2 linked regions of the Mus musculus genome follow. The protein of the gene in region 2 interacts with the protein of the main gene of each other region in a biochemical or structural test. Links are inferred from orthologs where the notes say so. Each region holds a gene or a part of one and is shown on either strand. Other genes may lie near its edges.

Region 1 (2,353 bases), on a different chromosome or scaffold from region 2:
GTCATATTGGATACAGATGAGCAAGAAGTGGAGGTATTGTCAACTCAGTCTCTCATAAATGCATATTACTTCCATAAGCCCTGCTCCCAAAACTCCTCCACCAATCAGTATTGTGGTTTCTTGTTTCTTCTACTTGATTAACAACTGTTTAAGATATTAAAAGCAAAATGTGTTGGGAGAGGGGTGCCATGTGGCAGAGGACAGCTTGTGGGAGTCAGTTCTCTACCGTGTGGGTCTCAGGGACTGCACCCAGGCTGTAGTCCTACCTGCTAGCCGTTGCCATCTCACTGACCTGCATTCTTATCCCATATTACATCCACAGTGCCTAGAGGTCTTTAGTGCTTACTTAAAAAAATTACAGTGGTGGCACACGCCTTTAATCCCAGCACTTGGGAGGCAGAGGCAGGCAGTTTTCTGAGCTCGAGGCCAGCCTGGTCTACAGAGTGAGTTCCAGGACAGCCAGGGCTACACAGAGAAACCCTGTCTTGAACCCTCCCCCCCCAAAAAAAAATTATGATGGCATATTCCTGTAATCCTAGCACTCTGGAGCTGAGGAAGGATTGTGAGTTAAGGCCAGTGTGGGCTACACAGAAAGACCCCTTCCCACATCTCTAAAAATAAAAACAAATTAGGCGGAGAGAAGAGATTTCAGCAAGGCTTCTCAGCCAGAGGAGTGCTGGCATTGACCTCACTAAGCCTTGACAGGCTGCCCAAACTTGCTCAGTCTACGCCAACTGGGGCACTAGAACTCTCTCAGGAAAGCAGAGCTGCTGCAGTTTTGCTCCAGGAACCCCAAGACAGGGTGACTGCCTCATGTTCCATGGAGTATGAGGTCTATGTATGACTCCTGAGTGCTGACTCCTGGGATTAAATGTGTGCACCATCGCACCCAGCTCCTTAAGTGCAGTTTTCCTCTGTGGTCTTAAGGCCTCTGGGAGCTTTAGTTCAGAAACCTGTTCCTGAACCATGTGGGCCTAGCAGGAGCTAGAATTTAGACTAGGTTTTGCAAAGAGCAAGGGAAGGGAGGGGCTTGCAGGGGTCTAAAGTGTATCCCAACTCTGTTCACCAGGCAGGACTCTGACTCTCAAAGCCGACATTGTGTCAGGATAAAAACATATTACCAGAAGTGGGAAAGAACAATTTCCAAGTGTGCAGAGCTTCACCCCTGCATTTGTGAGTCGGAGGCTTTCAGGTTTCCTGATGGGATCAATCTGAACTGAAACGGGTAAGCAAGAGGAGATTAGGCATGGGTGTGTGGACAGAGGACAAGAGGGAAAATTTGTCCCCTCATCTGTCACATCCATCACCTTCAGCGTCTCAGTCTGCTTACATAGGGCAGGGCAGGGCATGGGGACAGATGTGGCCTGGAACAGAAGAGGAGCTGGGGAACATAGGATGAGGAGAGCTAATGACAGTCAACTGAAGCTCACTGATGCTTTATTTTCCAGACACTTGAACAAGACCTTGTGACCTACATCCTTAACCTACGGCCTGCCAATTTTTAAGACTGCTATTCCTCCAGCACTCCCTCACTCTCGGGCATGCCCAGCTAAGGGATGACCTGCTGCTTGCTTGAAAGCTGCTCCAGAAACTGGACTTCTCTTGGGAAGAGTAAAGAAGCCTCCAGAAAAGACTTGACCTTCCTTAAGAACTTCCCAAACTAGAGATGGGTCAGGGGAGGGCGCTCCGCTGAGTGGATGGATGGCCCGGAGCCAGCCAGGCAGTTTTATTGAAATATTTTTAAATACTTTGCACGTGTTAGTCCTGTGTGTCAGCAATGCTGTGTCTAGTTCGGTGATCCCAATGGGACAGTGAACCCAGGGGTCGGCTAGGAGGTGCTCTGTCCATTGAGACCATGCTGAGGCTCCCCTATACGGGGAGAAGAGCTAGTCAGCCCATCTGGGGCTGGCATTGTCCAGCAAGTGCACTGTCCTTACAGGGTATCCCGAAGGCCAAGGTTGGAAGCCTGAGCTCACAGGCCTCACTGCTAAGAGCGTGCCCCAGGCAGCTGCAGGCTGGGTGTGGGTGGCTTGGCATGATGCCCTCGGTGGCAGAGAAGACTGCCCGCCTCACAGTTCAAGTTGCGGTAGCGGGCAACAGCTGGGGTAGGGCGGGGGCACATGGATAGAAAGCCAAAGCTGAACGGGCCAAGGCAGCAGCCAGGGCAGGGCAGCCCCTCCTCCGGCTCCCGGGGAGCTGATGGGGGCGGTGAGGGCTCTGTCCGCTCCAGGGCTGCTGCCCGGGGAAGGCTATGCTGTGCCCGGTTCCAGGGCTCCCTAGCCCACCCTTGTGGGGAATTCACCACCACAGCAGGGGGATTATTGTTGAGGGGAGGTCCTGATCTAGGAGACCA
Region 2 (4,327 bases):
CGGTCACCCCTTGACAGACCAGGTTAACCTGTACCTCCTACAAGATTGCCACCTCTTTCTGCATGTCCTCCAGACAAGAGAATTGCACCGTGGTCCAGCAAACCTCTCCCCGACACGTGCATAAGACCTTGCCTGACCAGCCTAGCTCTGGGCCACACCCCAAGTCACCCAGGGACAGCCACGTCTTCAACTGAGATTGCAGAGATGGGTTGCTCATACTGCAGCTGCCAAGAGTGGGATGGCTCTTAGCCAAGAGAACCAAAAGGACCCTCCCCCTCAGCCTGGGTAAACCCCATGGGTACCTCTCACCAGTACCTTTCACCATCTAGTGGACCTTCTGGGACCGGCACCATTGGAGAGATGTAAACTGGGTAGTGGTGGCCCACACCTGTAATCCCAGCACTCAGGAGGCTGATACAGGAGGTCAGAGAGCAACCTGGGCTCCATCTGAAGGAGGGAGGGAGGGAAGAAGGGAGGAAGAAAGGGAGGGGATCTGCCCCCTGTTGGCTAATTCTAGCAGCAGGGTTTTTTTCCCCCCAAGACCACCTTGGCATGACCACCAAGCTCATGCTATGGCTCTCTGGGTGCCTAGGGAACAGAGAGCCTGAGGGAGATCTTTTCCAAACTCGAGGGAACAGTTTGCTTTAAACAACAACAATGAGGAAATTCCAAATCCTCTTCTGGTATAGTGAAGATGTTCTGGAGGGCTCAAACCCAGGGTCCCTGGCTCTAAGCTCACCCTAAACATAATCGAATCAAAGGAAACTGTCCCCCTCCTCAGCCTTCCTAGCCCTCCCAGGGCAGGCTCCCTCTAGAAACACCTCAAATGGCTAAAGAAAACCATTGATCTTTGAGATGCATTATTGATCATGCTGTCCATTAGCACCCATTCCCATAGCCCTGGCCCACCACACACCATGCCTGGGGTGGGAAAGGCCTCCTTGGACACTGTCCATAAAAGACAGCCTAGAGAAGCAACTGTCCACAAGTGGATGATGTCACCAGACACACTGCCCTGGCCCCAGACCCCCTGGATTCCTGAGGCAGCACGGTCCACACCAGGCACCTCATCCCTCAGTCCAGGGCAGGCAGCCACCTGCCAAGACTCCAACCACTGGGGAGGAGTCTCTGTAAGGCACACAATGACAGCCAGAAGTCATTGGAGTCTATAGACAGAGGGACTTCGCAGCTCCATTTCAAAGGACAGACTTAAACAAGCCCATCACAGGAAGGCAGCCTCTGACTCTTGCCCTGGCTCCAGGTCGCACATCCATCGTGCAAGAACGGCAATGCCACAACTGGTATAGGCAACGTGTGTCTGTTTCTTTGGTTTACTTGCTGTGTGGACCAGCCAGACCTAACTGAGTCTTATGGTCAGGAAAGACAAGCTTTGCCCACACCAACATCCCTGCTCACTATTCTATCCATTCCGCTTCTCAACAGATGATCGCTCTGACGTGATGCACACAGACAGCAACGGTCAAAATGACAATCAGGCCATTATAGTCGCTACCGGGATCTACCCCCACCTCTGCCCAAGACTGCCTGCTTCTGGGACACTGTAAACATTCCCAAATAACCCTGCCTGCCTGGGCAGACAAGAGACAAGTCAGACGCCAGGGGCACATATGAAGTGACAGACCGCTGGTGTCACTTCACCCTCCTGGGAAGGAAACTTCCGTTTGGTAGCGCCTGGTAGACCCACAGCTGGGTCAGATGGCTGGCTACAGGCCCCCAGTCCAGTGAGAGGTTGGGCCACCCACGGGCCTGGGCTGTGCTCCACACAGTGAGGGTTTTCAAAACAAAAGCAGGACAAGTTCATGTGGCAAATGACCCAGTATGTAGGGGCAGGCCTTCACCACATGCTTCATTGAAAGCCAAAACTCCACATTCACCCACAGAGAGACTAAACAGAAAACATATAGAGGGCAGCTACGTGCTCAGCGCTGTTTTGTTTTTTGGCTGATTTTTTTCCCCAAGCCATAACTGGCTGAGCCCCAACAGAACCAGCCCCCTGCAAATCATCGGGCGCCAGCAACAGGTGCAGCTCGAGCTAAAGCTGGTGGTGGTTCCGGGCGGTTCTAGAATAACGCAGCCCGAATCTTCCAGGAAGCCACCGCCTTGCAGTGCCCACTGCCCGGCGGTGGCAACCTCACCGCGGCCGCACCTGTCTGAGTGCACCGCGCCACATCCGGTGCACCCGAGCCAAGGCCTGGGAGACCGAAATAGAAGCTGGTTAGGCCGGGGCTGGGAGCCCGGCTACGGGCACCGGGCCTGACCTGGGAGGCACCGATCAAGGAGTCAGCACCCGGGGGTCCCAGCGTGCAGGGCCTGGCTGGTCAAGTCGCATCCGCTGCCTGTCCCGTGTCCCTGCTCCAGCCACCTGCCTGCCAGGGCCTGGCGGGAGCTAGGGAAGGGACGCCGGAGAGAGATCCGGGCTGGGGTGGAACTGCAGAGAGGGTCTGGAAAACGCGGTGGAAATGTAGAGGGGGGTGAGGAATCCGGATGGGACTCAGAGGGGACCCAAAGGATCCTGATGCGAACGCAGAGGGAGTCCGGGGGCATCCAGGTGGGAATGCAGACTAGGTCCTAGCGGTGTGGGAGAACCTGGGGAAGAAGCTCGGAGAGGGATCCTGGGAGCCCCGAGGGGGTCGCAGGAGAGGCTCCAACAGGGTTCCTAGGTTTACCGCGGGGGCTCGCCGCGCTCCGCGCACCTGCCCAACCCCGCGCGCGCTCCTCCCGCGCCGGCCCAGTCGCTTACCTGGAGCGCGCGTCCGACCCGCGGAGGCTCTCGGCGGGGGCTGGCCAGGCCAGCTCCGCGCCAAGAATGGCGGCGGCGTTGGTGGCAGCGACGACAGAGGCGAACGGCGCCAGGAGCTTGAGTCGGGGAGGCCGGGAGACGCGCGGAGATGCTGCGGCGCGAGAGGGAGCGGAGGCCGGCGTGGGGAAGGAGGGCGCGGGGCTAGCGTGCAGGCCCCACCCCCTCTCCCTCCCTTCCCGCCTCCTCCCCTCCCCCTCCCGTCTCTTCCCTCCCTTCGCCCCTCCCCCTTCCTCCTAGTCCCTCCTCTCACCCCAACCTCTCTCCCTTCTTCCTTGCCCTCCCGCGCCCCGCCCCTGTCTTCACCTACCCCAGTCTTTTTCTCCTGCTCCCCTCTTGTTTCCTTTCTCCCTCCCTTCCTTTCCTTCCCCATTTACCTTCCACCACCTCTTCCTCTTTTCATCCAACTCCCTCGTCCTCTTCCCCCGTGTCCCCCCCCCCCCGTCCCCCATCCCCCAAAGCCCCATGGTCCAGACCCCAGGGGCTCTTTCCTACCCAAGTCTGGTCTCTTGAAAACAGAGGAGATTACCAGCAAAAGGAGCCTTTTGATCCTTTCAGCCTCCTAATGATCCAGCCTGCTCGTCCAGGTCCCCAAAGTCTCCTGTGCCCCATGCTCTGGGGTCACCAGCGTTGACCCCAGAGATGCTGGGCTCTTACCTTTATGATCTAGGATAGACCCTTTGGGGTTCTCAATGCAAGGTGTGGGTGGTTCTTCCCATGGACCAAGGCTTCCTGTATGCAGCTCCCGATGAGATACATTTCTAACTAATTCTGGGCCTTCCGAAGTTGGTTGGTACAAAGGGTAGACATAGCCAGGTCCTTAACATGCTTTCTGAGGTTGGTGCTCCAGAACCTATGATTAAAAAAAAACCCAGACAGTGGTGCTTTGTTGTAATCCCAGTGTTGAGGCAGAGACTATTGGTGGAACCCTGGATGGAGTTCACTGGCCAGCCAGCCTGCCTTACTTAATCCGAAGTCAGACTCAGATTTCAGTAAGGGACCCTGTCTCCTAAAACTAAGTGGACAACACCTGGGTTGACCTCATGGCATATTGCATGGGTACACACACACAGACACACACACACACTGCAGCCACAGGGCATGTCCTTTTCTGCCCTTGAAGGGAGAAGTGACCCTCAGTTCACACAGTAACTGGCCAGGTGGGAAGTGCTGCCCAGAGACACAGTCCCTCCCTAAAAGGAAACCCAGTTCCTTAATGAACCTGCCGGAAGAACCAAGAAATAGATCAAGACCAGTCTCTAGGCAGACTGGTGGCTTCCTGAATTCCAGAAGGCCCTTAGGGGCTTCCAGCAGGGATGAGGCTGTTGGGAAGGCAGGCAGCTGACAGCAGTTAAACTGAGCAAGCCCTTCCTAAAGGATAGAAGGTCCTAGAAAGAACCAGGAAGCTTCTTCAGGTTAGGTGTGCCAGTCAGTGCTGGCTCAGAGAGCACAATAGGCCTACTAGAGGTCAAAACAGTAGAACCAACCAGAGGAGGGTCGGTTGTCTTT

The links.
Region 1: the proteins of Sema4d (region 2) and Cd72 form a complex in vitro, tested with the Homo sapiens proteins (2 studies listed by BioGRID and IntAct). The link is inferred for Mus musculus from reciprocal best matches to the Homo sapiens genes SEMA4D and CD72.

What each region holds. Positions count from the first base shown.
Region 1 is NC_000070.6:43,447,132-43,449,484, reverse strand, and holds the end of Cd72 (B-cell differentiation antigen CD72), read left to right. Parts: coding exon 1-33; intron 34-1,069; coding exon 1,070-1,220; 3' UTR 1,221-1,225; intron 1,226-1,409; exon of another isoform or gene 1,410-1,448; 3' UTR 1,449-1,761; downstream 1,762-2,353. Other genes in the region: Tesk1 (dual specificity testis-specific protein kinase 1), read right to left, coding at 1,988-2,353. UniProt on the Homo sapiens protein: Co-receptor of B cell receptor (BCR) that plays both positive and negative roles on B-cell functions. Recognizes the Sm/ribonucleoprotein (RNP) self-antigen ligand, and coligation of CD72 and BCR inhibits BCR signaling.
Region 2 is NC_000079.6:51,790,736-51,795,062, forward strand, and holds the start of Sema4d (semaphorin-4D isoform 1 precursor), read right to left. Parts: upstream 2,944-4,327; 5' UTR 2,762-2,943; intron 1-2,761. UniProt on the Homo sapiens protein: Cell surface receptor for PLXNB1 and PLXNB2 that plays an important role in cell-cell signaling. Regulates GABAergic synapse development. Promotes the development of inhibitory synapses in a PLXNB1-dependent manner.